4 linked regions of the Neurospora crassa OR74A genome follow. The protein of the gene in region 1 interacts with the protein of each later gene in a biochemical or structural test. Links are inferred from orthologs where the notes say so. Each region holds a gene or a part of one and is shown in the gene's direction. Other genes may lie near its edges. The genes, in order: NCU04370, mus-8, NCU01225 and pex4.

Region 1 (7,712 bases):
GGGTCATTCTCTTGAAATTAGACTCCTTCCGGCCTAGCGAGAGGAAGAAGAAAAGAAAAAAACGTGACGTCGTCCTGGCTCATCTCCACCACTCCTTAGACTCGGTGCTGCTTGCCATCACAGTCGATATCACAAGCTTCCAGGCATTGCTACCGTTGTGCTGGGTCCTTGCCTTACCTCACTAGGTGCCGGATCTGCCTCGCAGGGTTACTAAGTCACGCCGTTGGATTTGTCACCTGAGGTCCCCGGTCCCAATAGTTTGTCGACTTGGAAGGTTACCCTTGACTCGGCTACTTTAGGGAACGCTGCTTAGGCTCCAGAAGAGAACGGATCCGCCCTTGGAAGACCCCACGCGATCGAGATCTGGTTCAGATGCCCAAGTCACGTCACATTAAGGAAGTCTCTCACGGTTCGGTTGGAAAAACATCAGGAAGTTCCGCGTGGTGTTTGGTTAACGGCCAAGCCCCCGATTTACCTCAGCGCTGACAAACCTTTTTCACATCTGCTCATCGATCCCTCTCGTCTCGGAGACTCATCACACCACGCTAGCTTTCTTATTCGCACCCCTTTTCCAGCACACGAAGCATCCCTTGTCCACGCTTGGCTAGGAAAATTGATGTCAGTCACCCGGTCGTTCTTCAGCAGTGTGGACCAAACTAGGGTCAAGGTCGGCCGAGAAGTCGATCATTCACTAGTAGTGAGCTAGTGAAAATTGGGGAAGACGATCGGAGATCGACAATATATATCGAACAGTAATACCGATATCTGGAGAAAGGTTAGGTTGTGATCGGATATCGGAGACTTGTGATTAGGTTCGAGTAAGGTAAGTGGACGAGTTGGAAAGAAATAAACGCCAAAAGTCGGAGATCGGAGAAAGGGGATATCGGTCGAAGAGCTGGGTATATAAACTAAGGACCAGAACGGACGACATACGTCAAGAGATATCTCCTGTTCGGCCATTCACTTGTTTTCGGGACACAGACAACAAGCAAGCAAGCAAGCAAGCAAGGAAACAAACAAACAAACAAACAAACAAACTGCCAGCAAGAACAACACAATGGGTGTCAACAAAATCACTCACGTTGCGGGTACCGGGCCACAACCAGAAGCTGGCCAGACCGTGGTTATCGAGTATACTGGTTGGCTGAAGGACTCGAGCCAGGCCGATGGAAAGGGAGCCGAGTATGTTCTTTTCCCCATTGAAAAATCTTGCCTTACCACACACGTCTCCGGTTGTTGGTCAGTTTTGATAACACTATATCCAGATTCGACAGCTCGATCGGTCGTGGGGATTTTGTCACGCAAATCGGGGTTGGGAGACTCATCAGAGGTATATGCCCACCATCGGTCCACTTTTTTCATATATCGGAGACTTTATGCTGACGTGCTGCTTTTGTGACGGGCATAGGATGGGATGAGGCTGTATTGAAAATGAAGGTTGGCGAGAAAGCCACTTTGGATATTTCTAGGTGAGTTATTCGTGAGTGAACGATGTGTCAGGGGAAGAAATTGATACTGACGAGACAATATGTTTTAGTGATTACGGATACGGAGAGCGGTGAGTAACCTGCAGGCCTTTTTTTTTTCTTTCTTCTGAAAATCCAAAAAAATCAGTCTATATGGTGTAACACCACCCGCAGACACGATACTTCTGGCCGTGCTGATTTGGAGTTAATGCCCATGTGCTGACCCGACTTATTGCACACCAGGGGTTTTCACGGCCACATTCCTCCGAACGCAGATTTGATCTTGTGAGTTGTCTCCTGTATGCCACATATCTTGCTCCAGCTTGTCTCTACAGTCAAGGTAGCGGCGGGCAAGATAGCGTCAGCAAGGATACGAGCTAATATGTGATAGTGACGTATATCTCAAGGGTCTCCAGTAGCTGGGCGGTTCACTGATCTCGGGAAAAGGAGACGAGGTCCTTAGTTCAACGCCTCCAACGAGCCAAAGTAGGGACCGCTGGGCAAGAAACCACTGGAACTTGAAGTTCTTTTGGGAAGATAGATTTTATGTCGGTGATGGCGATGACGAAAACACAGATGGTTGGTGTTTACGTTGCGAGGAACCTTGATGGGTAAAGACGAGGAATTAATTGAATGACGGGAGGTTGAAGCGATACAGGGAAGGTTGAAGTACCCGCGCAGCTATGTTAATATGGAGAAGTACCTACAAGCGCCTCATTGAATGTGATTGGCTCACTACGATAAGAGAGCACAAGTTGCCTGCCGGATGGGCTGAGTGGCTGGTCCTTGCTTACTGTACCAAGTACGTTTTACCGCCATCGGTACATCGGGCAAGTACCTCTAGTGCATGACCGCCTCGTACCGTCTACTGCCAGGGGTGTTAGTAATGATTCGATCCTTCTATTGCTGTCCTCACGGTTCCTTCCAGGTTCATGCGCGCGTGAACCACAATACATATTGGCTTCCCTTCAGCATCAATGAGACTCTGAGTCAAGGTTTATCCGATCAGATAGGAGACAGGGCACAGCCAGTGTGAAACGAGGTTGGGTCGAGGTAGAGGTACCTAGAGGTACATAGCTAGCATAGCCACTTCCAGACGTACAACCTAGTAATAGGTGCGAGGCCGCATACGGTGAAGGCTACAGCACACTGCACTAACAGCAGTACAGCGACCTGCACGCTGCAGCGGTAGGTGCTTGGCCAACGACGGACAGTGCATCACATCACCATTCCCCGCAGTTCTCCTTGATGCTTGACAGCTGGTGGCGGGGCTGACCGAACCTCCCTCGACATCCCCGCCGCCCGACCTTCCAGATTACAGACAGCTTCCACTTCCACTTGCACTTGCACTTGCACTTGCACCTTGACATAGTACGACATAGTAGCACTTGCGCTTGATCCGTCGTCTGTTTTCCCGAGTCATTCAACTACAACATCGGCGTTTTCTTTGGACCAACATCGCCAACTTGAAGTATCACAATACCCGACCACTGCGAATCAACAACTTTAGGTTCAGTTCTCGTTCTTGTTTTTGCTCTGTTTGCGTCACGAACTTTCCACCATCTATAATCTACCGGCCCGCCCGTAATCAACAGTCGCCAAGCTGGGGAAGCGCAAAGTATCCGAAGGGGACCTACCCATCTCTCTAAAGAGAACCATGACAGTGAGTTGAAACCCCGTTTGTCTACATGAATCCTACTTGGGATGGCAGATGCTTGTTCCTGGTAGCTAGCGCCAGTCAGTCTGACACTTTCGTGATGCCCATCTCCCAGGACACTCAGAAAAACGAGGTCGACCTTGTCACCAGGATGCAAGTCGACGAATCAGTAGCCGGCACCACGGCCGAGATTGATGAGTCCCTCTACAGTCGCCAGCTCTATGTCTTGGGCCACGAGGCCATGAAGCGCATGAGCGCTTCCAACGTCCTCATCGTCGGCCTCAAGGGCCTCGGCGTCGAGATCGCCAAGAACGTGGCCCTTGCTGGCGTCAAGAGCCTCACCCTCCACGACCCCGAGCCCGCCGCCTGGGCCGACCTCTCCGCCCAGTTCTTCCTCCGCCCTGAGGATGTCGGCAAGCCTCGCGACCAGGTCACCGCTCCCCGCGTTGCTGAGCTCAATGCTTATACCCCCGTTCACATCCACCAGTCGCCAAGGTAGGTTATGAACCGGACGGGAGTGAGCTTGACAGGTTCGGTAGCTAACCGTGGCCTCTGTACAGTCTCGCCGATAACCTGTCGCAGTTTGACAAGTACCAAGTCGTCGTCCTTACGAACCAGCACACCGATCTCCAGACTATTGTCGGCGAATACTGCCACTCCAAGGGCATCTACTTTATTGCTGTCAACACACACGGTCTCTTTGGCGGCATCTTCTGTGATTTCGGCGATAACTTTACTGTCATGGACACGAACGGCGAAAACCCCGTTAACGGTATCGTGGCTGGCATCGACGAGGAGGGTCTCGTTTCTGCGCTTGACGAGACCAGGCATGGACTTGAGGATGGCGACTATGTGACCTTCTCGGAGGTTGAGGGTATGGAGGGACTCAACGGCTGCGAGCCCCGCAAGGTCACCGTCAAGGGCCCCTACACCTTCTCTATCGGCGACGTGTCGGGGCTTGGCCAGTACAAGAAGGGCGGTCTCTACCAGCAGGTCAAAATGCCCAAGACCATCGAGTTCAAGAGCATTACCAACGCGCTCAAGGATCCCGAGTTTGTCATCTCCGACTTCGCCAAGTTCGATCGCCCTCAGCAGCTTCATATTGGATTCCAGGCTCTCCACGCTTTCGCCAAGTCTCAGGGACGTCTACCAAGGCCGATGAACGACGAGGATGCGCTTGTGGTTATCGCCTCGGCTAAGGAGTTTGCCAAGCAGCAGGGTGTTGACGTCGAGTTCGACGACAAGCTTCTCAAGGAGCTCAGCTACCAGGCTACTGGTGACCTTAACCCCATGGCCGCTTTCTTCGGTGGCCTTACTGCCCAGGAAGTCCTCAAGGCTGTTTCGGGCAAGTTCCACCCCATTAAGCAGTTCATGTACTTCGATGCGCTCGAGGCTCTTCCCACCAACTCCAAGCGCACCGAGGAACTCTGTGCGCCCACTGGTAGCAGGTATGACGGCCAGATTGCGGTCTTTGGTAAGGAGTTTCAGGAGAAGATCTCGAACGTCAAGCAGTTCCTTGTTGGCGCTGGCGCCATTGGCTGTGAGATGCTCAAGAACTGGGCCATGATTGGTCTCGGAACAGGCCCTGAGGGTAAGATTACCGTTACCGATATGGACTCGATCGAGAAGTCCAACTTGAACAGACAGTTCTTGTTCCGTCCCAAGGACGTTGGTCAGATGAAGAGTGACTGCGCGGCCAAGGCCGCGCAAGCTATGAACCCTGACCTCGAAGGCCACATTGTTTCTCTCAAGGATCGCGTTAGTCCCGAGACCGAGGAGATCTTCAATGAGGAGTTCTGGCAGGGTTTGGATGGCGTCACTAACGCGCTGGACAACGTTGAGGCGAGAACGTATGTCGACAGACGGTGCGTTTTCTTCCACAAGCCTCTCCTTGAGAGTGGTACCCTCGGCACCAAGGGCAACACGCAAGTGGTGCTTCCTAGGCTCACTGAGTCCTACTCTTCCTCCCAGGATCCTCCTGAGCAGTCGTTCCCCATGTGCACTCTCAGGAGTTTCCCCAACAAGATCGAGCACACCATTGCTTGGGCTCGTGAGCTGTTCGAGAGCTCATTTGTCAAGCCTGCGGAGACCGTCAACCTCTACTTGACCCAGCCAAACTATCTCGACACTACCCTGAAGCAGAGTGGCAACGAGAAGGCGACGCTGGAGATGTTGGCGGACTTCCTAAAGCACGAGCGCCCGCTCACCTTTGAGGATTGTGTCCAATGGGCTCGCATGCTCTTCGAGAAGCAGTACAACAACGCTATTCAGCAGCTCCTTTACAACTTCCCCAAGGATTCCGTGTCCTCGACCGGTACCCCCTTCTGGTCCGGACCCAAGCGCGCCCCTGACCCGCTCAAGTTCGACCCTGAAAACCCCACCCACTTTAGCTTCCTCGAGGCTGCTACCAACCTCCATGCCTTCAACTATAGTATCAATGCCAAGGGCAAGAGCAAGGCTGATTACCTCCGGGCTTTGGAGGGTATGATCGTGCCTGACTTCTCCCCTGACTCGAATGTCAAGATTCAGGCTGATGAGAAGGAACCTGTGAGTATTTGCCACAACGAGTTGTGTGTTGGGGATGATGCTAACTGAAAGTAGGACCCGAACGCAGATAACACTGCCTTCGATGACGAATCGGAGCTCGGCAACCTCAAGTCCCAGCTCCCCGAGCCCAAGTCCCTTGCTGGCTTCAAGCTCAATGTTGTGGAGTTTGAGAAGGACGATGACACCAACTATCACATCGACTTCATCACGGCCGCCAGCAACCTGCGCGCCGAGAACTACAAGATTGAGCCTGCCGACCGTCACAAGACCAAGTTCATCGCCGGCAAGATCATTCCCGCCATCGCCACCACCACGGCCCTGGTTACCGGCCTCGTCGTCCTCGAGCTGTACAAGATTATCGACGGCAAGACCGACATTGAGCAGTACAAGAACGGCTTCATCAACCTGGCCCTGCCCTTCTTCGGCTTCTCCGAGCCCATCGCCAGCCCCAAGGTCGAGTACAACGGCCCCAATGGCAAGGTCACGCTCGACAAGATCTGGGACCGCTTCGAGGTCGGTGACATTACCCTGCAGGAGCTGATTGACGATTTCGAGAAGCGCGGTCTGTCCATCTCCATGTTGAGTTCCGGGGTCAGCTTGCTGTATGCCTCGTTCTTCCCGCCTGCCAAGCTCAAGGATCGCTATACTCTCAAGCTCAGCGAGCTGGTGGAGACGATTAGCAAGAAGCCCATTCCGGCGCATCAGAAGGAGTTGATCTTTGAGGTGGTGACCGAGGATGCGGATGGTGAGGATGTGGAGGTTCCTTATATCAAAGCGCGGATCAGGTAGATGATGATTGGCATAAAAGGGTTGGCGTGGAAGACGGTGTAGATATCAGATGAGCTGTTTTTTTGGGTGAATGAATAAATACAGTCAAAGTCAAGTCAATAGAACGTTACTTTTTACTTCTTGGTTTATGATCCTTTTTCATTAGGTGTACATGAATTCGAAGCAGAAGGAGTCTGGCTTAGTGCCGGTGAGGATGAGGTGATGACGATAGAAACGCTGAAGTAAGAGTCCCAGGAAAGTGATTAAATCATGTCTTACAAAAGAGAGGACAGCTACTTGTATCAATATAGTCTTACATTATGTACCACGTGAGAAGTTCTCCAAGGCTCGTTCAGATACTCATAATTGACATATCAACCTCGCTACATGGTTACGTACTACATGACTACGTGACAAAAAGACTCCGTCTCTCTTCTCGTGATATCTGACTGCTGTTCAAGGCAAACACCAAACACACACCCAAAGTAATTAAGACAGGCTTAGGAGACACCATAACAACGTGGACGTACTCGACTAGCAGTTAGGTCGGTAAAGAACCAGCGAATGCCGCCAGATGTTGTTTCTTTCTTTTTCTTTTTTTTTTTTTTTTTTTTTTTTTTTTTGGTATTTCACCCATTGCCTCTCTCTCCCCTTCATTTTGTTCCACATCTTCTTGGCTCTAAGGTTTGACTCTTACGTGTTTATAGGTGTTTGTCTACCACCGTCTTGTGTCAATTTCCTGAACCGGTTGAGTTCTCTAGGATGGTTAAGACATTAATAGTGGTGGGTCACTCGAATACAGTTATTTCCTAGTATTTTTTTTTCTATATTTCTATAAACAAAAAGAATAATCAATTACCTACCATTCATATGCGGGGAAATGGACCCCATTTCATGGTAAGTGATGTGAGGGAGTGAGTAGAGGGAGAAATACATCGACGTGGATAGTCCTGTTTGGTTACTTAATATGGAAAGGTCGTAACAAGACAATGAAATGTCACTTGCCAATGCAAACAGCTGAAAAAGACTCGATTTGGCATGCTTTGAATTGGAAATGTCTTGTGATTTAAGCAAAGTCCACTGGAGACGGCCTGAGATATCAAAGAGTGTACCAAAAGTGTGATGTATTCGACTCGACGCTAAGATCAGCTCGGCTACTCTTATTGCTTCGCTGCCCATCTTTGCACATACAGCCACTTCAGCTCGGTATCGCACCCGTTGTATTTGACTGCTTCAATGAGGTTTTCGCCTAGGAAATCCAACACCCTCATCAT
Region 2 (7,193 bases), about 1.6 Mb from region 1:
AATAAATAACTTGTTGTAGTTCTTGTTCGATGTTTGATTTGCTGAAGACAAAGGTGCAGACCGTTTCGGTGAAGCTGCGCGATCTCAAAGGTGAAGTTAAGGTGAGTGTGTTTGCACTGTGCTGCATTGATTTCAATGCGGCGCGTTCGTCTTCTGACCGGACGCTTAAACCCTAACCCGAACGCTATAACTGTGAATACCCTGGGATCTTTGTTGCACGAGTTGAATTTGGTCACGTTTACTTATATGCTCAGTTGTGGATTTACAGCATCACCCAGATCATCAAGCTCACAACATGGCACTGCAGTTTCCTTACTTCTTCAAATACATTCTGTCGCTTTGACCCAACAAGATGCAGCTGTAACTATGTGCAGACTGGCCCTGCTTCTGGCAGCGCATCATACCATTTGTACATGAAAGAAAGCCCAACCAACTCCAAAGCTTTGCAAATCTTCATCCTTATACAAAAATTCATCAAATACCCATCCGCAACTCCACAATGTTCCCGGTTATACCGACTCGATCCTCTGGACGACCATCGCAGTGGCCGCACCTCCACCATTGCAAATAGCAGCTACACCGTACTGGCCAGGCTGGAGTTGATGAAGCAAGGTAACGAGAATGCGGGATCCAGAGCTACCCAAGGGGTGGCCAAGGGCAATGGCGCCACCAAGAGGGTTCACCACAGCGCCTTCGAGACCCAGAATCTTCTCGTTGGCCTTGATGACCGCGGCGAAGGCCTCGTTAAACTCCCAAATGGCAACCTGGTCCTTGCTAATGCCGGCACGCTTAAGGGCAAGCTCAACCGCTTTAGAGGGCGCAATAGGGAAGTCGATGGGATCCATAGCGGCATCAGCTGAACTGACGATACGGGCAAGGACCCTTGAGCCCTTGCCGAACTCTTGCGCGAGCGACTTATTGCCGAGAACCAAAGCACTGGCGCCATCGTTGAGGGTGGAGGCGTTGGCGGCCGTCACGGTACCGGTGCCATCGCGGACGAAGGCAGGCTTGAGGGTGGCAACTTTGTCCAGCTTGATGTCGTTGTAGCCTTCATCCACCTCGATGATCTTGTCACCCTTCTTGCCCGGAACGGTGACCGGGACAACTTCCTCAGCAAACTTCCCGGAAGCCCAAGCCTCCTGGGCGCGCTTGTACGACTGGATGGCATACTCGTCCTGCTGTTCACGAGAGATTTGGAACTTCTTGGCAGTGTTCTCGGCGCAGTTGCCCATGTGGAACTCGTTGTAGACGTCGGTCAGCCCATCCTTGATAATGCCATCCTCCATCTTGATGTGACCGAAGGGGGGCATGCCGCTAGCGCGTGGAACGTAGTACGGCGTCCTTGTCATGTTCTCCATACCACCAGCGACCTGGGCCTCCGCTAGGCCAAGCTGGATGTTTTGCGCCGCGAACACAACAGCTTTGAGACCGGAAGCGCACACCTTGTTGATGGTAATGGCCTCTACGTTGGGGGAAAGGCCAGCAAAGATAGCGGCCTGGCGTGCAGGTGCCTGGCCAACAGACCCCTGGAGGACGTTTCCCATGTAGACATCGGTGATCTTCTCAACGGGGATACCCGACCTCTTGACGGCCTCCTTGATGGCAACGGCACCGAGCTTGGGAGCAGGAACGGTGGTGTAAGAGCCATTGAACTGGCAGACGTTAGCACAAGCGCTGTGTTGTGGAAATGGCTGATTTTACGGAGCGCTTTACCTTGGCCGTTGGTGTCCTCACACCACTGAGAATGTAGGCATCCTGAATCTGCTGGCGGAGAGCAGACTGGGTGGAAAAAAGACGAGCGCAAGCGACACGGGAAGTGCGCGAAGCCGAGCCAGCGGCTGTCCTGGCGTGGCTAAGAACCATTCTGATGTCGGAAGCTGGTGACGATGAGTTACAGGACGTAGGGGCGGTACTGCACAGCGCAGATGTCGGAGGGGAATCTGGCGAGAAGGAAGAAAGGAAGATGGCCGAACGGGGAATGAACAACAGCACAACAGGAGAGGCAACACAAAAACAGGAGCAGGAAATAATTGGGAGTAGGGACAGAATCACAGGGAAGACTTTCTTCTATTGTTTAAAAATGATTAATAAAACTACCAGTTGGGGAGGCGATAGCTAGGTGGTCTCTTCCTCTCCTTCCCGCTTTCTTTTCCTCGGAACTTGTCAGATGCCATGATGGCACCGGTCGGCTTGTGACGGTACATGTGTGGAGAGGATTCACACCAAAGCGATGCTTCACCCCGCCAATTGAGCGCCAAACAGTGGCCGCCACCGTGGTTCCTCCGCGGGGACCCCAACGGGCGCAAGGGACACAGAAGCTTGGTATCCGGGGTTTCCCGTGGAGCCTGCCGCTGACCGACAGGGGAAGCTCCTCATCCACAACAACTGAAGAATGCCCTGCTTGGGTCATGAGCCCATGAGTGCCGTACCCACGGGCGGATGGAGAAACATCAGATGGAGCCAGAGTTGAAGCCGTAGCGGAGGGGAAACGGTCAACGGATCGATTCGGGGGTGGATGCTCTCCAAGCAGTTCATTCACTCTTTCCGCAGCCTCCTGTTGCCCAGCGCCGGCATCATACCTAGCTGTACCGGATACTGCCCGCATAAAATCAGGGATCAAAAGGCCAGGGCACTGCACGCTCAAGAGTCGTTTCGCATCACTTAACAATCTATCCCAGTCGCGGTTGTCCCTGCAATTGCCATCCCGCGCGCGTCTTTGGATGTTGGGCAGAAGCGAACCACTTTACACGCGGGAACAAAAGCCGAGCTTCCCAACGCGATATGTTTGAGATGTTGCGTTGGTTCCAAGCAACGATCCTATTGCGGCGTTGAAGTGTTTTCGGGCAGCTGCCGGGGGATGCCACAGGAGACAGCTTGATCAAATCACTGATTCAACCCGAACAATTGGCTGTCATGCTACAATTTCTGATGTTTTCTTGGGATTCATTTGTCAGTTCGATTAGTTAGATGTTTGGCTGGACAACCATTCGGCGGTGGCGTGAGAGAAGGTGTGTGACTGTGTGATCCCATTCCATCAGCTGGCAGTCACCTCGCGCACGAGCCACCAGTCGCTTCATACCCAAGTGTAATTGGCCGAGAATCAGAAAAGTGCTATTAACAATCCGGCGGCAATTGTCAACCGGGGCAGTCACTGTTCATTGCCCCTGCCCTCGGCGCGCGTTCTCCTAGCTTCTTTGTGACGCCCCCCTCCGGGCAATCAGTTGGGTATGATAAGATAGCGGTCGTTAATGCGCGTTCACTTGTTGGCTCTGCTGGTTTCCGTCATTCATCTCCGCCCCTTCAAATCAGTTCGTTTGATTGTCTCTTCGCTATTCCAACCACGAAACCCATCTCGACTTCGAACAAAGTATCGCATCGATCCTACGTACTCCATCAACCTTGTAGCTTTCTCTCCATACGCCTGGGCCGACTTCATCATCCATCACCAAAGCCAAAATGTCAACCGCTGCCCGCCGCCGGCTCATGCGAGACTTCAAGGTGCGAGACATCATGAGCCACCCCGTTGGGTTCACACCGCTTGATGACTTGGCCGCCATGAGCACAATATACTCACCATGTTCCTCGACAGCGCATGCAAACCGATCCTCCCGCTGGTGTTTCCGCCTCTCCCGTACCCGATAATGTTATGACATGGTAAGGAGAACGATCTTTGCTGCGGTGTCGTTATGGGCGGTCGACCCCCGGCATGGCAATGACTGACATGAGTCTCCATATAGGAACGCCGTGATCATCGGACCCGCCGATACGCCCTTCGAAGATGGCACCTTCCGCCTGGTGATGCACTTTGAGGAGCAGTATCCCAATAAGCCTCCTTCGGTCAAGTTCATCAGCGAGATGTTCCACCCCAATGTTTACGCCACTGGCGAACTTTGTCTCGATATCCTTCAGAACCGCTGGAGTCCTACGTACGACGTCGCGGCTGTTCTTACCAGTATTCAGAGGTACGACTGCATAATATCTTGTTGACGTTCATTTTGCGTTGTGTTATTATGCTGACAAAACTGTCTTGACTAGTTTGCTCAATGACCCGAACACAGGATCGCCTGCAAACGTCGAAGCCTCCAATCTATACAAGGACAACCGCAAAGAATACCACAAGAGGGTCCGGGAAACTGTTGAGAAGAGCTGGGAGGATTGAATAGTGACGACATTTATCACCACGGGGCCCTCAATGGCAAAAAGCCAATGATTGATCTGGGTGCTGCAAGTCGGTGTTGATATTGCTCACTGGGCTGTTCGATACAGATCTCTTGGCTATATCAACAGTCAGTTGTCGACCGACGACGAGTTGCGAGATGATCCACATTCGAGGATACCCGGCGGTTTGGCCTTTTAGGGCGTGAGGGTGGAACGGATGTCGTGATATTACATTGCATTTGGGAGGCGTCGTTCTTTCGGGGCGTTTTTGTTGTATTTCAAATATCCGCATCTCTCGCCTATTGATGGCTGAGAGTCAGCCTGCTTGTCTGCAATGGAGAGAGCGGGAGTGCTTGGTTTTTCTCACTCTTTAGGGCGATTGTCGGGTTTGGAGTTTAGGCGCTCGTATCATACCAACACAAGCACATCTGGCGAGGGCAGTCCCTGGATACCTCAACTCACCCCAAAAAGCCCTAGATAGCGTTCTTTTCTTTTGTCTTAGAGATGAAGAGATGGCATAGTGTCTTTCATTGCAAAAAGCTCACCATGTTATGTCGGCCGGCTTAGATGTACGAGTTTCCAGAGAGTCTTGCATTTCTCAGCTTTCCTCTGTTTCTTTGACGAAAGTGTACATGACCCCGCTTGGTGCCTTACATCCACATGATTTATATCACCTATACCTAAGGCTGAGAGTCAAGTCTAGCGTGCACATTTCGAACTGCGGCGTTGTTTAATACACGCTCACGTTAACAGGCATACCTTGGATGCAAGGGTCCCTGTGAGAGTGAAAGACAGGCTGACTACCTCTATCGTAAATGCCCAGAAAACGCAGGGTTAAAGGGCTGTCAGATGCTTTTGGCGGCCGTCAGAGAGCATTAGTGTACGTGGCTTCCGAACACTTTTAACCCTGCAATCTGGAAACAAGGTTCTCAAGTCTGTATGGTACGTCCTGGTCCGACTTACCCAGCTCTACATGGCTCTTTTGGAAGACTTCTCATAACTTGCATAGGTACGATTTTATGTTGTAGGACTGACGCTTTGCGTATGATCTGCATGAGGGGTGAGGTTGTTTATATATTGTGGGTAGCTGAACTTGGCTAGGCTCCTCTACCTACAGCGAGCGGTAGCCTCTTGAAAGCTCGAATTGACAACGTAGAGAGGTATCTTGAAAATTGATTGCAAGTTACCCAAAAGAGCAAAGAAATGGCCATAGGCAACTCGAACAGCAGGAAAGGGGGCGGGCATCTCCAAGAATACTGGCTTGTATACTTGTGCCACTTGAGTCTGCTAGAAACGTGCGATCAAATTACCTCAGGGAATGGGTTTCAGATTGGGGTTTTCCATGTACACTAGAGGTAGGTACCCTCGGGCGGAGCCTCCCCCAATCCTGTTTGAAGCTTTGAAATATTTCTACAATTGATGAAAATATCTCCTCCATGGCACCCGAGAGTATTGGCCGAACGGGCATTCAATCTTCAGGCAGGTACTTACCTTACACTCGGAGGTAGAGGCAGAGGTAGAGGTAGGTAAGTAAAGGTACTGGTCTCGCAGTCCGCCTCGCAGCACCAGCCGCCCCGAGTGCCGTCCCGCTCCGGTTGTTAGGTAAAGGGACAGGGGCAGCAGGCACAACCGACGGGAGTCGTCCACTGGCGACGACTGGCAGCGGTTCGCTTTCAGGACCCCTCCCGCCCTTGGCTGCGCACCGTTCAGACTGCGTCTCAGGCTGCGACTCTGCACTGACCGACAAGACCCCACTATCTTCATCGCGTTTCGACATTTGTTCGGTTTCTTCTAGACCCTTAAATTGCCTTGGGTACCGACCACACGTGTGATGAGTACCCCTTCCTGCCCTTCCATCTCGACGAGAACATACGGCGGCGGCGACAGTAGCTGCGGATACCCCTTTCAGCCCCTTTTTGCACATTCTGCACACGTTCGCCTTTTCGCCTAGCCCTCAAGGTTTGCTTTGCTTTGCTCTGCATAGGTAGCTTTAGGTTTGCTGTCTTCTTCCATCGCTGCGGCCCAAAGGGGTTCAGTTACCTAACGAAACGCCAACGTGCCTCGGCGGGCGAGTAGTGTGTCACATTGAAGCCCACCTTCACCTTTTGCCCTTCTTCACACCGCACCCGCAGCCGCGAACCGCACCGCAACTGCACCACACCACAACCACCGCTCACGACGGACCGCGGAGGAGGGAAACGACGACGAGAACACGCGCCTAACCGGAACTCGTCACCTTTTGTGATATCCGGATCCAACTCGGAGAGACACCTGGACCCCGACTGACCGAGACCCTGCTTCTCTATCTCTCTGCTGCAGGCGGCCGGGCTCCTTGTCCATCTCCCCTCTCCCCCCCCCTCTCTCCCCCTCACTCCACCACCCATCCTCCCCGACAACATCGGCCGCGCCGCCTTTCATGACAGTGCGCTACCCAGCGCTGCAAGGGAATCGCCATAATGTCGTCAAGTGCGAATAGTATCAAGGTCGTGGCTCGATTTAGGCCCCAGAACAGGGTCGAAATCGAGTCCGGCGGCCAGCCCATCGTCACCTTCCAGGGCCCGGATACCTGTACAGTCGATGTGAGCAACTTCTTCTGCCCCCTAGTTCTCGCACCTCACAATGCCCTTGTGCCTGCCTTGTCACATCCTTCACGCGCCTGAATGCAGTCGCACCGCAGTGGCTAACCCATCTGTTTTTGCCCATAGTCGAAAGAAGCGCAGGGTTCCTTCACCTTTGATCGGGTGTTTGACATGTCATGCAAGCAATCCGACATCTTCGATTTCTCGATCAAGCCTACCGTCGACGATATTCTCAATGGCTACAACGGTACTGTCTTCGCCTACGGCCAGACGGGTGCCGGTAAATCATACACCATGATGGGTACCAGTATAGATGACCCTGATGGCAGAGGTGTTATTCCAAGAATCGTCGAGCAAATCTTTACCAGCATCTTGTCTAGCGCAGCAAACATCGAGTATACCGTCCGGGTCAGCTATATGGAAATCTACATGGAGCGGATCCGTGATCTTTTGGCG
Region 3 (7,491 bases), on another chromosome or scaffold:
CGATGTCTGGTGATGATGGTGAGCTGCTGAGCTGCACAACTTTGAAGTTTTGGGGAACGATTGGTTGTTGACTGGTGTCACAGATTTCTTGGTGAAGGTTCAGCAATATTTCCAAGACTGGCTGTCTCTCAAAGATGATGTTCAATGTACAGCGCTGCAGGGGTGGCCGTTCAAAGCACCTTTGATCGTTCGTATTTGTATGGTCGTGACATTCTGGAGCCTAGTTCTATAACGTGTGTGGCATGCTTACTTCGACGGGTAAGATGGCGCGGGTATCTGTGTTTCCTGTACCGTGGATATTTACTTCGTCTAACTGAGAATTTGCTCTTTGGGTTTCGAGATCCCATAGATTACACTTCCATAGAATTCCGGGAAACAATGTGTGTGCAAATGTCATGCATGGCAAATAGATTGGGTTCGCATACTCGCATCGGGCGGTACCAATTCCGACTACTACCAGGAGCTGACATTGCTACAGGAACAGAAGACTTCACATTTGAATAACAACAACAAAGACAAGCGAGCACCCAACTAAGCGTCAAAGCTGGAACGCCCACCAACAAAATAACCAACGCACTCGATCCCGAAGCATTCTAGCCTTCAACAATGGATCAGCAATGTGACAACTAGGATTATTCAATCTTTTTGCATTAATCAGGGCTCCTCTCGCACCTCCCTTATCCACATCCACATCCCCTCCTTCGCGTCCTAGCCACCTATCCCGGCCTAGCAAGTTATCACCGCCTTCCCGCACCGGCCTCCATCTTTCCGGCTCTTCTGAATCCGGCATCGTCATCTCTCGCCCAATTCGGCTCCCAACCCCAATGTCAAAAATGGTCCCCGCCCTGAGACTTTCTAATCCACTCCCTAGGCTCCGGCTTCCTCGCTGGCATCCACATCTAGGACTGCGTCTGCGTTTCACGCACCCCCTCGGCCGTGTGCGCGCTTTCGCTGAGCGCCCCCGTGTAAGTCGCAGTGGGAACGTAGGGATCGTTGCTGGGCCGATGGAACTGGGGCGGGGGTAGAGGGTGTGCTTGGTGGTTCTGGTCGCTCTTCTTCCATTTCAGACCAAGGGGAAGAGAAACAGAAGGATGATGGTGATAGTAAACCGTTGGTGTACGGTTATATCAGGAGCAAGGGGGGCTGTATGCAGGGGAGTCGATGGATGGGACGGTGGTGGTGGTGTCGAGGGGGGTGCGAATGAGGAGTTTTATGGGAGGAAGGGGATCACGGTGAAGGAGATTCCGAAAGGGGGTGTGCCTTGGCCGGAACGAGGGCGAGATACGAAGGATGGTAAAAAGGTTTGGTCGGAGGGGGTAATGGGCTTGGTGGAGGCTTTGAGTGCGGCTGATCAGCAGGGGAGGAGAATATGTGATGGGGACCATGATGGTTCAAGCAGGAGAGTAAAGGGTGGTTAAATGTATAGAGATAGAGAGAAGGATACACGCAGAAGGATAGATTAGATGCCGCCTGGTGACAATGGGAGAGATAGCATACGTAGGAGGTGCAGCGTCAAGCTTACATGAGTAGGATGAGAGGCAGTGGTGGGCTTCACGTTTTGCGTAGATACAACTGACATGAAGCTGGACTTCACAATGAATGTATCAACGAACCAACAATTTAAGGCGTGGAAAACATACCCTTACAGGAGCCAACCGTAAAGTTTCTTCTTTCTCCATGATAAAACGCTACGGTATCCCTTCATCTTCACTCAAACTAAGGTACGCTTAGTGATGGCTGGATATCGACATCACAAGGCTGAATTGTCAAATCCATTCCCAGTCGCAATCCGCCCAAATCTGAAAAGTCTTGCAAATTAGGCCAGATAATATGCGGTTATGTTACAAGTACAAGCCCTCGGGCTCGCCTTCCTGCTTGGTGCGCAGAACTCTTTCACGAGCAGCTCTGAAGTCTGCCATCTGCACCCGCATTCTGCGCTCACGGAGGGCCATGAGACCGGCCTCAGAGCAGATGGCCTTGATGTCGGCACCTGAGAGATCGTCCTTCTGGGCGATGAACTCTTCCAGGTCAACATCCTCGTTAAGTGACATCTTGCTGGTGTGGAGCGTGAAGATCTTGCGCTTGGTGTTCTGGTCGGGATTCTCGAAGAGAATCTTGCGGTCGATACGGCCAGGACGGATTAAAGCAGGGTCAAGCGACTCGATCTTGTTGGTGGCCATGATGACCTTGACGTCTCCACGGTCGTCGAAACCATCCAGCTGGTTCAGCAGCTCCAACATGGTTCTCTGGATTTCACGTTCGCCGCCCGATGTCGAGTCGTAACGCTTGGTACCGATGGCATCGATTTCGTCGATGAACACGATGGAAGGGGCATTCTCGGCGGCAACCTGAGGAACATGTTAGAGTATATATTTGACAGTGTAGCTTGAAACACTTTTACATACCTGGAAAAGCTGGCGGACCAGTCGAGGACCATCACCAAGATACTTTTGGATAAGCTCGCTACCAACGATGCGCAAGAACGTTGCCGAAGTTTGGTTTGCCACAGCCTTGGCAAGGAGGGTCTTACCGGTACCGGGAGCACCGTAAAGAATGACACCCTTGGGTGGCTTGATACCCATTTCTTCGTAGAGCTCCGGATGCAGCAATGGAAGCTCAACTGATTCACGAACTTCCTGGATCTGCTGTTCCAAGCCACCAATATCCGCGTACGACTCCGTGGGCGCCTTGTCAAGCTTCATGACGCTGACGGCCGGATCCGTGTCGTCGGTGAGCACGCCAACAATGCTGACACTCTTGTGATGTAGCAGGACGCTGGCGCCGGGCTCCAGAAGGTCTTTGTCGACAAAGCTCATGATGCTAACGTAGTACTCGGGCCCCGATGTGCTGGAAACGATGGCGTGGTCGTCGTCGATCAACTCCTCGAGAACACCGACACCCATGGGGCTGCCACGCATATCATCGACACGGGAGCGCTCGTCAGCCATACGGTCGGAAGACTCGAGCTCGGACGCAGGAGCATTGCTGTCCTTGGCGGTCTTCGCCTTGCGTAGACGTTCTTGATTTTCGACATATTCTTCCTCGAGCAGTAGATGATCGTGGATTCGTTGCATTCGTAGGAGTCGGAGTTTGCATCGGCTTGTCGGATACACTGAGGGGAGCTTGGCGGCAGCGCTGGCACCGCCTTGTCTCTTCTTCTTGCGACCGATGCGGGTGGTAGGCTTCGGCGGCGGCTCGTACTTGGGCTTATCTTTCTGTTTTGGTGGCGATGGTGGTTAGCGATGTCCATGATGTCAGCGCCTGAGTCTCACAGGACAGCAAGCATGCCGCGCACAACAGAAACCTTGACGCAACTGAAGCCATCCTACCTTATCTTTCTTGGACTTTGAAGGGTCCTGGCCTCCGCCCATGCCAGACTGATTTTGACCCTGCGCAGCTTGTCAGTATGCGATGCGTTGCAAGCTTGAGCTCAGCTCCGTATTGCGGCAACTGACCATGTTGACGGTCCGCCTTTCGCGATTCTTGAAAGTGTGGTGGAAGACTCAAAGGGGTGCTGAGAATTATATGATGGGGTCGCAAAAGTGCCGCACGATCTGAACTCGTTGATCTCAGCGGCAGTGATGGAAACGATTAAGTTGTGCTGGTGTTCGTTGTTGGCGGATGCCCGTTTGAGGTTCAGTTGCGACGGGATGGCGAGCTCCAGTTCAGGCCCCCAGTGAACGCGACACACCTCATCCGTCTGTCGTCCAGTCGTACACCTGACGCACAGACCATCAAGACTACTAAGCTGCCGGGGGCAATAGCACCTTGCATGTCGTTTGAGCGCTCCTAGCACTTGCTGTGCGTTTGCATTCGATCTGTCTACTGACCATACCTGGACAAGCTGCACAGCTTTAAGTTTGTACTTGTACCGTATGACGGACTGTTTTCCCATACATACAGCGCATGGCCACGACATTGGCAAGGGAGGGGACCATCCCAGGGACGAGTCCAGCCAGAGCCTCCTGCTTCCATCCTATCCCGTCGCAACTTTGTGTACATTGGAGGGCGACAGTGGTCATTCGTCCTCAACCTTGCCCGTACTATACTAAAAAATAAAGCAAGGTGTGGCTGAGGCGATCAAAACACTAGGAAGAACACCACGCTCGCCAATTAGGTTATGTGAGCATTTGACTCTTGGCACTCTTGGGTACCTCTACGGACGCTGCTCCCCACCTGACTCTTGAAGTTGCCTTTTTGCTTTCCTTTCCCTCGACAGGAAGTGACGACGACCATCTCACCTTGTCAGCGAATGCTCTTTCAGCCTTGCATTCACAAATAACCTACGGTACCTAAGCAGGCCCGGTTCGCCAATCCTCGATCAGTTGCGGAAGAAAACCTAAAACGTCCTGTCGTTCGTTCCACTGCCAGCTCCTCCATCACTGAAGAAACCCTCCCGTCTCACCTTGCAACATCATTTCACGGGCCTCCTTGACCCCTCCACAAGGTTAATCTTATCAGTACTCCGTTGTTATACTTCACTTATTTCGCTGAACACCACTTCCTACCATCTTATTTGCGTCCAACAGCAAACCATATACTGTACCCACTCCCATTCCCATTTGGGCGCAATACACTTCCCTTCCTCTGCACCAACACCCCATCACTTGACCATGGCGACTACTCGTGAGCGCCGCGTTGCGAAGGAATTGCAGGATATATGGAATGACCGCGAGACCTCGGGCGTCATGGCCGAACCTCTCGACTCGAGCAATCTGTCGCACCTCAAGGGCTCCTTCAGCGGCCCTCCAGACTCGCCCTATGCTGGGGGTACATACGAGGTCGACATTCAGATTCCGGATAAGTACCCGTTCAAGCCGCCCTCGATGTATCTTATTACCAAGATCTGGCACCCCAACGTCAGCAGTGTCACTGTACGTTTCTCTCGTTTTTGTCCCCTTGTTTTATGATGGATGTTAGGAAGTAGGTGGAGTTTGGAGAGCTCAACTAACCCTCCGACGTCTTTACAGGGCGCCATCTGCCTCGACATTCTGGGAACAGCATGGTCCCCGGTCGGCACGATTAAGACAGCGCTGCTTGCCGTACGAATGCTTCTTGAATCGCCAAACCCGAAGGATCCCCAGGACGCCCAGGTGGCCAAGATGTTGATGGAAAACCCCAAGCTGTTCGCCCGAACGGCACACGACTGGGCCGTCAAGTATGCCGGCGCGCCCAGGGTGGACAAGATTCCTCTCAAGTATGATGAGACCGCAAAGGAAGGTTCAAGGAACGATGCTAGCAGGTACGTGGCATTTCTGACCATCCCGATGCAGTGAACCACCTTGTGTTAAGCAAAAGCCATATGGACAATGCATTACTGGAAACCCGGAATAAAAGTCAGAGGCGACTAACCTTGAGAGCCTGCTTGGCGAACCCAACACAGATATGCTGGATATAACAAGGACCTGGTGGATCGTTTTGTCAACATGGGATTCGACGTAGAAAAGGTGGTCGATGCTTTTAAATTTGTGGGTATTGACCGGAACGGAGGCGCCGATTACGAACTCGAGGAAGCATACATGGGCGATATCACTGCGCGGCTCCTCGGCGAGCAGTGACATTCGAGAGTGAGGGCGGGCAATGAGAGCAACAAACACGGCTATGTATAGTGATGAGGTGGTGGTATGGTTTTACCGATCAGCATTATGGAAATCAGAACGGTATGGACTTTAAAAGCGGACAGGTAAAGCGAAGGATGGAAACCGCAGCAGCTGAGGCCGACGTTCGACTGGTTTATTCGGTGGTAGGATGGCGCGGCTTCGTCTGTTATTAGTTTATACATCAGCCGCATTCGGATATGGAGTTTTACGGACGACAAGGGTGTCAATGGAGCAATGGAATTTCTGGCTTCTTTCTACTACTGATTCCTCACTTTCCCGTTGCTCGGAGTTTCCGTCCTCCTTTACATGGTAGCTAGCAAAGTGATAGCGTATCTATACAAAGTGTATGGCGCATTCAAGCCAATAGGCGAAGACAGGTCGGTAAGTCATGTTTATGTGACGTTGTGAATAAATGGAAAGTATAATATACCTAACCGCCCACACCCATTCCTTGGTTTCACCTCTATCAACAAGAACGTCGCAAGATGCGGAAAGGGATATAAATGCACCACACGGTATACGCCCAGTCCCCACTCCCAGTAGCAATGGCCAAATGTCTCTATCAGGCTTCAATTGTCATCCCAAGACACAGTCACAAATGCAATACGCTCCGCGTTCCCTGCTTCCTTCTGACTGTGCCTTCGGCCCCGACCAGGTCGGCAGATAAGCCGAACCAGAAATACAAGACTACCCGTGCGCAGAGACAGAGGAGACATGGACAAGATGTTTTGGTTGTATGGCTGGTTGGCTGGCTGCTGCGACTATTCATATGTCCGCCTCAAAGTAGACAAAAGAAAATGTTCGAAAGATTAAAACATGAACCCCTTCAAACTTTTCTTAAAGCAAATCGCGTCTGACGAACTCATCACGGAGAGCCTTGCCGAGGCTGGCGGGCGAGCGCTCGACAACAACACCGGCGGCCTCGAGGGCCTTGATCTTGGAGTCGGCACCACCCTTGCCGCCAGCGACGATGGCACCGGCGTGACCCATGCGACGGCCGGGGGGAGCGGAGATACCGGCGATGAAGGAGACGACGGGCTTGCCACCGTTCTTGGTGTTGTACTCCTTGAGGAAGTCGGCAGCCTCCTCCTCGGCGGAACCACCAATCTCACCGATCATGATGATACCGTCGGTATCGCCGTCCTCGAGGAAGACCTTGAGACAGTCGATGAAGTTGGTACCGCTGAAGGGGTCACCGCCGATACCGACGACAAGAGACTGACCGAGGCCGGCCTGGGTGGTCTGGTTGACGGCCTCGTAAGTGAGGGTGCCAGATCTGCTGACGATACCGATACGGCCGCGCTTGTGGATGAAACCGGGCATGATGCCAATCTTGCACTGACCGGGGGCGATGATGCCAGGGCAGTTGGGACCGACGAGACGGGTCTTGGACTGAGTCTTGAGCATAGAGGTGATGCGAACCATGTCTGCAACGCCCGGTTAGATCACTGGTTTCCAAAATTCGCTTTCATCCGCTTGCGCGCCGTCCTTGTGAGCCATTGTACTGACCATGCTGGGGAATGCCTTCGGTAATGCACACGGCGAGGGGGATCTCGGCCTGGAGGGCCTCCTCGATACCGGCAGCGGCGAGAGGGGGGCTATTTTCGATGTTGCTATTAGTAAGGCCCCCAAAGGCTGGTATCTCGGAGAGTGCTTACGGGACGAAAATGGCGGTGGCAGTAGCACCGGTCTCCTTGACAGCCTCGCTCACATTGGAGAAGACGGGGCGATCAAGATGTGTTTGGCCAGCCTTCTTGGGGTTGGTGCCGCCAACAACATTGGTGCCTAGAACAGAGGGCGAAATGCGTCAGAATTCCATGTTTGCGACAGTTTGCGACCCAAGATCGGTACCGATAAGCGGGAGATAAGCGAGGGGAATGGTGGCAGTGGT
Region 4 (7,161 bases), on another chromosome or scaffold:
CTCCTTCTTCGCCAATGGCAATTCCAATCCGGCCCGGTGGTCATGGTCATCGAAGGGGAGGCAGCGAATTTGTTGGAGGCAGCATCCGTGGCGGAGATTCAATCACGGTCAACTTGGGTTCTAGTCCGACCAAGTCAGAAAATGGCTTGGCTTCCCCCTTGCTGCAACCAAAGAAGCCTGCTGGTCGCAGGGGTCATGCTCACCGGAGATCTGCCGCAATTTCAAGCCACGACTTGTCTTCTATCATTATCCCTCCTACCGCCAGAGAAGTCAAGAAGGACAGTCCCCCGGCTAACCTAGCGCCTGTTGATCCTCCCAAGGAACTCTCACTGGTCAGTGATGAGAAATCGCAGCCTGAGACGACAACAACAACCATGGCTGTTTCCGAGGTTCCGGAATCAGTTGCCCCAGAGGTATCGACACCACCCGCCCAGGAGCCGGTAGCACTCACGGAAGCCCAGGAATCCCCGAAGCCAGCCGTCCGTACAAGGGTTGGTTTCTCTGATACTCTCGAATACATTCCGAGACCTGTTTCACTTGTTTCTAGCGACACCTCCAGCACGGTTACCGCTCGTCCTGGCCATTCCGTTTCGGGTAGTATTTCGTCCGTCATCTCCATCACAAACGTGGAGCTGGGCTTGAACACCATGGCATTTAATTCGTCGCCCGAGCTCAATGACCGACCAAGTACTGCTGGAGCCGTTCTTGAACGGACCGAGACAGGCCAGGAGCAGGCCCAGGAGATAGTTTCACCGAGACGCCGTGGTTCCATTCCCCTTCTAGGTTCGATTTCGCCGCCTTCAGCATATACGTCGGCGACTCCCAGCCCTATCAAGTCCTCCAAAAAGTGGTCTTTCTTCGGCAAGGATAGCTCCTCAGCTTCATCTCCTACTAGGCCTTCGGAATCGCCCAAGCTGTCGACATCAGTAAAGGCCACTCCGCAGCGCTTTCCCGGTCATTCGCCCCAGGGATTTCCTGAAGAGCTGGCGGAGATGAAGCCACTCACGAAGAAGAGAAGCAAGAAAAAGAAGAAGGTCAAGACGTGGGCCGGGTCCATTTTGTCTCGGAAGCAAAGCAAAAAATCGCGACACGGCAAGGGATTGAAGCGAACCCCTACGTCTACTTCTCGGCGTTCCTATAGTGTGAATGAATCAGCTGTTGACGTGCTCTTTGAACCGGAGGCAGTTATGCCTACAGTTCTGGTGACGGAATCAATCGACCCCACTGCGAAGGACTGGGATTCATACAAGCCTGCATCCCTTCCTGACGAAGAGACGTCATATCAAATGATTGATTTGGACGCAGCATTGGGACCGTTCAATACGCCCCTCCCTCGCAACCCAGAGTGGGAGGCGGCCCAGAGAGCGGGAGGTACTGTAAAAAAACAATTGCACAGCGCTGCGGGTTTGAGGGGCTTTACTGGCCCTGGAATGCATTATCACAGACGGGCTGAGAGTGCACCCGAATTGGTACCTTTCGAAGGTGGTCGTTTCGGCTTCCCTCGGTTCGGGAGCAGCTCGACCATGGCTGATGTCTTTGAGGAGGACGAAGAGGAAGACGAGGATGAGTCGCCCAAATCTACTGGACAGTCAACCCCTGTTATGGAGACGTCCCTGGCCGATACTTTTGAGGAGTCGAAAGCTTCTGCGAAGGATAAGGATGTCGCGAAGTCCACTGCTGATGAACAACGGGAAACGGCAACCGAATCTGTTGCTGTACCTCCAGGAGTAGAAACCGACGAGGATGGCAACGCCTCCGTGAAGTCTTCAATCCATACAGGGTCTCTGGGCAGGCGGTCTCAGGATGCGTTTCGACATGAGACATCCGTCACTGATTCTCCCCGTCCTAGCTTCAGCGGATACCAGAATGAGCTACAGGCTAGACATAGCTTCTCGGGTTCTGCGACTCCTTCGCCCAGGCAGACCTTCCGTCCCAAGGACCTTGCTGTAGTTGACTGCAGTCCGTTGACCTTGCCTGCTGCTGTGTCATGCGCACCAGTCAGTCCTCACTCGATGACCCCGTCATCAGCCTTCCCGTCTCCCAGGTCTCCCTTATCCTACGACGCCCATCGCATTTCGACGGCACCTTCATCCATCACTGAGGACAATTTCCAGTCACTGCTTATGGGCGAACCCGGACCAGAGGTACGGATCTCGGTGGATGATGTCCCATCATTGACCAGCGGCGACTCGTCAATGACTCGTGAGAGCTTCTTTGCGCAAAACCCTCAGGCTAGGCAGCTATCCTCCAACACGCTGCCTAGGCCTGCCTCGTTCAGTGCCTCTGCCTTTGGTCGAAGGCGATCGAGTCTTGCTAGCCTTAGCCGTCTTGTTAGCAGCTCGCATGGTGAGCGCAGCAAGCTCTCGATGGAGGTTACGGCGACTGATGACGGATCAGAGAAGAAGGTCAAACCCAGCAAGACCAAGCGGCTCGGCCGGTTTGTACAGTTCTGGAAATCAAAGGAAAATTGCGAGGCTTAACGATATTTTTCAGACGAAACTAGCTAGGAGCATGGGTGTCAAGGCTCTTCTGTTTTAATGTGGCGCTAAGTACGGAATTTTGGGGATCTAGATGAGATTTATTGGAGGGCTTTTCGACTTGACGGATAGGGCGTTTTTCTTTTTGACGATAGCACGAAGGACAAGATAACACGAGACGAAGGGGAGCAGCAATAGCAATCTCGGTCACACCAGAAATTTGTCTAGGGGACGAGATGTTGATTTCTCGAGGAATGATGTGGTTAAGGGACATATGATTCAAAGGTGGACGATGACAAATCTTTTTGTGATTCTATGGACATATCATTGCAAATGTCTACGATCGACTTAGGGTGGAAGGTTTTGATCAGGTGAGCTTCAAACGCAACACGATTATTAGGCAATTCAAACCATGATACCATGCGCTTAAAACGTTGCTATTGTTTATGTCGGTGCCTTTCTGTCTGTGTGGTCTTGTCCATTCCATTGGGGTAATATGGATTGCCGTCCCAGAAAACGAATAACGGCACTTCAGCCTCGGCTTCAGCGACACAAAGGGTTCTTGAGTTTCAGCGCGCCGTAGTGACGCCGCCAAACGGGTTTCAACCACTAGGGATCCGCATCTACGGAGCCACGTAGCGGTAGATGCAGCCGCCGGAAACGCCGATGCGCAGCTGGCCCGTCAGGGGTACCCCGATCAACCGCACTGCGGTGGCAGCAGCAGCAGCAGCAGCACCTCTGTGGGCACAGCACTTTGGACACCTTGACATCAACAAACAATACCTGAGCCCTACACGACCGACGATACGCTCTTTTACGAGATCCAGCTACACTGAGTGGTATTGATCACGGTTCGCCCACCCGTTACAGATCGATCATCGAGGACCGTGCACCAAGAGTCGCTTTACACACGGACAGAGCTATACCGATTTAGCGACGACACCACAGTCGGCAACTGCGGTGCGAGAACCATCCACTTCACGGACACGATTTCCAAACGAGGATACGCAAGTCTATTCCCCAAAGGGCTCCCTCGTTTCTCGTCGACCTGCTCTCAGTTTCAAACGCGGGTTTACCTCTGTGGATCATTTATACTTTCATAGCGTACTACCGAGTACCGAACGACCGACCACTAGCACTGGCGCTGGCGCAACTGAAGACTCGACCTTACGGATAGCATTGACGAAGCTTGACTAATCTCGTTCGTTCGTGTCTGTCTTGCTCTTGGATAAACGAGTCGGAATCACATCAAGGCACCATCGGGCAGCTCCGTTGGAAACGCTGAACAAGGAAGAATAATTATCCCTACCAAATTGAGAGGACACTCAACTATCATACAAAGCGCTACAGAACAAACAAACCGGAGTATACGTTACATACACCACAGACAAGGATACACGCATACACAGACGTACACATATATATAAACAATGTCTAACCGCAGCGCAGCCAAGCGCCTAATCAAAGAGCTCACGACCTGGAGCAACATCGAGTCCAAAGAAGAGAAGGGCGTCGAGCGGTTAGGTCCCATCAACGACGATGAGTTGTTGATTTGGGAGGCCGTGATTAACGGGAAGGGGGTAGGTGGTGGTTATGATGGTATGTCTCTTATCTTTGGTTTTTTTTCCCCTCCCTCCCTCTTATCCATCCCCCTTTCCCTTTTCATGTTTACCTCGCCCCTTCTCCCAAAAGAGCCTCCATTGTTAACGATAACACACACAAATCTCCAGAAGGCCGCTGGCTCCTCCACATAACCCTCCCACCGACCTACCCCCTCCACCCACCAACCATCAAATTCATCACCCCCATCGTGCACGCCAACGTAGCCCTTACCACGGGGGAGATCTGTCTGGACTTGCTCAAAGAAGCATGGACGCCCGCTTACAGCGTTTTGGAGTGCGTGAGAGCCATCAGGCTGTTGTTGAGCTGTCCAGGCATTGACAGTCCGCTTAATGTGGATGTCGCGGCGCTTATAAGGCAAGGGGATCATGTGGCGGCGAGAGGGCTGGTGGAGTTGTGGGTTGAGGAAGAGAGGTATGAGGGGTCTTGAAAGAGTTGGGCAGAGGGCAGGGATAGAGGTGTAGAATGTACGGGATGGATGGAGGGGAGAATGTAAAGAAAGGGTATAGGGGGGGGGGGGGGGGGCTGGATTGGATAGCCGTGGGATGGGAAATAGACCATTGGATTTATTTTGGCTAGTAGCTCAAGCGGGCTGTGGAAGCCTCTTACATACGAAGAGCGCTTATGAGTATGTCATGTGGCTCTGCTCCCTCCAGGCAACAGATGATATTTCATGTTTCCAGACCTTATGTTGCTGTTGTAGCGAATCTTCCAACATGCCAGCCAACGCCTGTGGGCTTGGTATAGATCATTCCTGAGATATACGCTTAGATATCAGGGGCAAGTGGTATTGGTACTCGCCACAGCCACGTTGCTGCCATGTATGAACTTGTAGAGATGCACAACAACTGGACACTTGTGCAGTGACTGGTCATGGTTCCTTACTATGTATATACAAAAGAAAGAGACATCGCTCCAAATCATCGGAGATGGTCTATGCTTACTGTATTAGAAAATGGCTACGGTTGTTAGTCACAAAAGAACAGAACAGAGCGATATACCAACCTGTACTTGATGCCAGCAAGGAACCTAACCGCAACCCCTTACTTTTCATTATGCTATTAGTTTAGGAAAGATGAACTTCAAAAGTCCCCTATGTTTCCTCGCCCATAGTCTAGTATATATCGTCAGAAGTCGTCGCTGTACCCTATGTCTTTGGAAACTTGACCAGATAAGGTTTGTTATAAGATTCCTTGCCCCGGTCGCTCAGAGCTTTTGGAGTTAGCAAAGAGCTCTTCTCTCGACAACGAGCAGACAACCTTGATCATCACACAAGGTTGCGTCTGGCACATCACACATCAGACGTGTATTTGAACCGCGCCCTCCAGCTGTGCACTTTTCGCTTCCCACATTCCTTCCCATAACCCAGAACTCATCAAAAAATTTACAAGAACTTAGAAGAACGCCACAGTTGCTGGGCCTAGCAACTCTGGATGCTGTGAAATTGAACATCTCCAAGGCAGAAAATTCCACTGTTACTAGCCAGACTCTTGCCTATGGCCTTAGGCAGCTCGAGGACGAATGAGGAATAGGACAAAGGTTGAGTAGTCATCTCTGAAGGCCCAGACACTACGCTGTCATCGTCAAAGAGAGACTGTTATTGCGTCCAGTGGCGGCTTAGGATACGCGGTGTAAAACTCGATACCGGCAAATGTTTCACTCGTTGTAGTGATAAACCTAATGTTTCAGTGTTAGTCCGACGTATCCCACCTTGACATGGCGCACAGCACACACAAGACGCACCTTGTAATTGGGCAAACCAGTTGCTTGCCAGCCCAGTCTTTTGGCCATTTTGGCAAAGCCCTCCGTCTCGATCAAGTGGTAAAAGGGGAACGCGGGGAACATGGCTCCGTCACGGTGCACCTCGGCCTTCACCAGCAACGCCGTACCTCCTACACCATCCAAAGGCACTTCGGTGTGTATATCCGCACCCGCCTCATACATGTAAGCCATCAGGGCCCGGTAGGTTGCCATGTCGGCGTAACCTTCGAGGAGAATGTCGTCCTTGCCCATCTTAGAAGCCAGCTCTTGCGCGGTCGGGCTGTCCTGCCAGTTGTTGAAGTCATAGGGCCGCTCGTCCATGGCCTTCTTTTCCGCGTTGTAAAACCGCTGGAAGCAGTTGGGCACCGTGAGCGGCTTGCTATGGCTGGCAAGATCCTGTATGAGAGTAGGAGGTGTCTCGATGATGTCGGCGTCCAACCACAACACCCACGATGTGTCGGGCCCGAGAGTCGTAAAGAGGAGCGAGTTGCGGGCTTTGGCCATGGCAGCCCGGCGTGCCTTCTGATTTGCCATCTTGTGGCGCTCGCTCTCATCCTGGGACGGGATGGGCGGGTCAAAGTCTTGTCGTAGGATGATGATGCTCTTAAACCTCTCCTTCTCGAGTCCATGCTTCTGGATCTTTGCGATCTGCTTCTGGAGCTCAATGGTGGCCGCGTTACCCTCCTTGGTCTTGGGTAGAATAAAGCCCAGTGTGATTAGCTCGTGGGGATACGAGAGCTTCAACAGGTTATCCCAGTACTCCTGGTAGAAGCGGGCCATGGGCGTAAGGACAAGGACGTTCTCGCGGTTGCCAACGGGGTCGTTTGTAATGGTGACATTGTTGAGGTTGTAGCGTGTTACTGGTGGAGGACCTGCTTTGCCGCCGACAGCGCTTGACTTGCGGAATGGTGATGTCGGCGGAGAGAGAGGATGCAACGCGGCTGTGGCCTTGCGAGCGGCAGAGAAGTCGGGAGCTGAGGGGGATACTAGAAGGTAGAGGATGACGATTACGAGGACGATGCCAACAGCGATCGTTCCCGGGCTCGTCCTCTTAAGACGAACCGGCCCCAATGGACGCGCCATGGGATGTTGGAGGATCTATCAAAGAGAAGTAATCATATAGTCGTCTGGGTTCGAAGGCGCGCGCGTTCCCGTCGTCCGTGGTTGGCTTCTTGTGTATGGCCGTGGTCTCTTTCGGTTGTGGGGATAAAAGACAATGCTATAGCACTGTTTGTAGCGCTCTTGCTCCTAGCTTCCTACGCGATAATGGGAGCTACGCGTATATATTCGTCGGCCAAATGAA

Evidence for each region.
Region 2: of the proteins of NCU04370 (region 1) and mus-8, one has a biochemical effect on the other in vitro, tested with the Saccharomyces cerevisiae proteins (6 studies listed by BioGRID, with this or other methods). The link is inferred for Neurospora crassa OR74A from reciprocal best matches to the Saccharomyces cerevisiae genes UBA1 and RAD6.
Region 3: of the proteins of NCU04370 (region 1) and NCU01225, one has a biochemical effect on the other in vitro, tested with the Saccharomyces cerevisiae proteins (5 studies listed by BioGRID, with this or other methods). The link is inferred for Neurospora crassa OR74A from reciprocal best matches to the Saccharomyces cerevisiae genes UBA1 and UBC1.
Region 4: of the proteins of NCU04370 (region 1) and pex4, one has a biochemical effect on the other in vitro, tested with the Saccharomyces cerevisiae proteins (2 studies listed by BioGRID). The link is inferred for Neurospora crassa OR74A from reciprocal best matches to the Saccharomyces cerevisiae genes UBA1 and PEX4.

The regions. Positions count from the first base shown.
Region 1 is NC_026504.1:3,602,854-3,610,565, forward strand, and holds NCU04370 (ubiquitin-activating enzyme E1 1), read left to right. Parts: upstream 1-2,753; 5' UTR 2,754-3,123; coding exon 3,124-3,129; intron 3,130-3,238; coding exon 3,239-3,618; intron 3,619-3,683; coding exon 3,684-5,670; intron 5,671-5,724; coding exon 5,725-6,459; 3' UTR 6,460-6,821; downstream 6,822-7,712. Other genes in the region: peptidyl-prolyl cis-trans isomerase fkr-3, read left to right, coding at 1,058-1,182, 1,266-1,330, 1,409-1,469, 1,538-1,558, 1,710-1,751, 1,858-1,885; NCU04369 (hypothetical protein), read right to left, coding at 7,599-7,712.
Region 2 is NC_026504.1:1,992,275-1,999,467, forward strand, and holds mus-8 (mus-8), read left to right. Parts: upstream 1-3,133; 5' UTR 3,134-3,456; coding exon 3,457-3,498; intron 3,499-3,589; coding exon 3,590-3,654; intron 3,655-3,737; coding exon 3,738-3,962; intron 3,963-4,035; coding exon 4,036-4,159; 3' UTR 4,160-4,848; downstream 4,849-7,193. Other genes in the region: NCU09732 (acetyl-CoA acetyltransferase), read right to left, coding at 510-1,652, 1,714-1,863; kin-1 (kinesin heavy chain), read left to right, coding at 6,615-6,737, 6,864-7,193. UniProt on the Saccharomyces cerevisiae protein: E2 ubiquitin-conjugating enzyme that accepts ubiquitin from the ubiquitin-activating enzyme E1 and transfers it to a E3 ubiquitin-protein ligase.
Region 3 is NC_026505.1:3,288,490-3,295,980, forward strand, and holds NCU01225 (ubiquitin conjugating enzyme), read left to right. Parts: upstream 1-3,919; 5' UTR 3,920-4,613; coding exon 4,614-4,874; intron 4,875-4,970; coding exon 4,971-5,242; intron 5,243-5,383; coding exon 5,384-5,558; 3' UTR 5,559-5,972; downstream 5,973-7,491. Other genes in the region: NCU01223 (hypothetical protein), read left to right, coding at 834-965, 1,068-1,418; rpt-2 (26S protease regulatory subunit 4), read right to left, coding at 1,842-2,348, 2,406-3,215, 3,330-3,389, 3,456-3,458; tca-8 (succinyl-CoA ligase alpha-chain), read right to left, coding at 6,438-7,027, 7,110-7,198, 7,259-7,385.
Region 4 is NC_026501.1:3,005,831-3,012,991, reverse strand, and holds pex4 (ubiquitin conjugating enzyme), read left to right. Parts: upstream 1-3,188; 5' UTR 3,189-3,907; coding exon 3,908-4,076; intron 4,077-4,207; coding exon 4,208-4,527; 3' UTR 4,528-4,965; downstream 4,966-7,161. Other genes in the region: NCU02637 (hypothetical protein), read left to right, coding at 1-2,480; NCU02635 (mannan polymerase complexes MNN9 subunit), read right to left, coding at 5,754-5,774, 5,841-6,941. UniProt on the Saccharomyces cerevisiae protein: Catalyzes the covalent attachment of ubiquitin to other proteins. Essential for peroxisome biogenesis. Required for UBC4-independent ubiquitination of PEX5.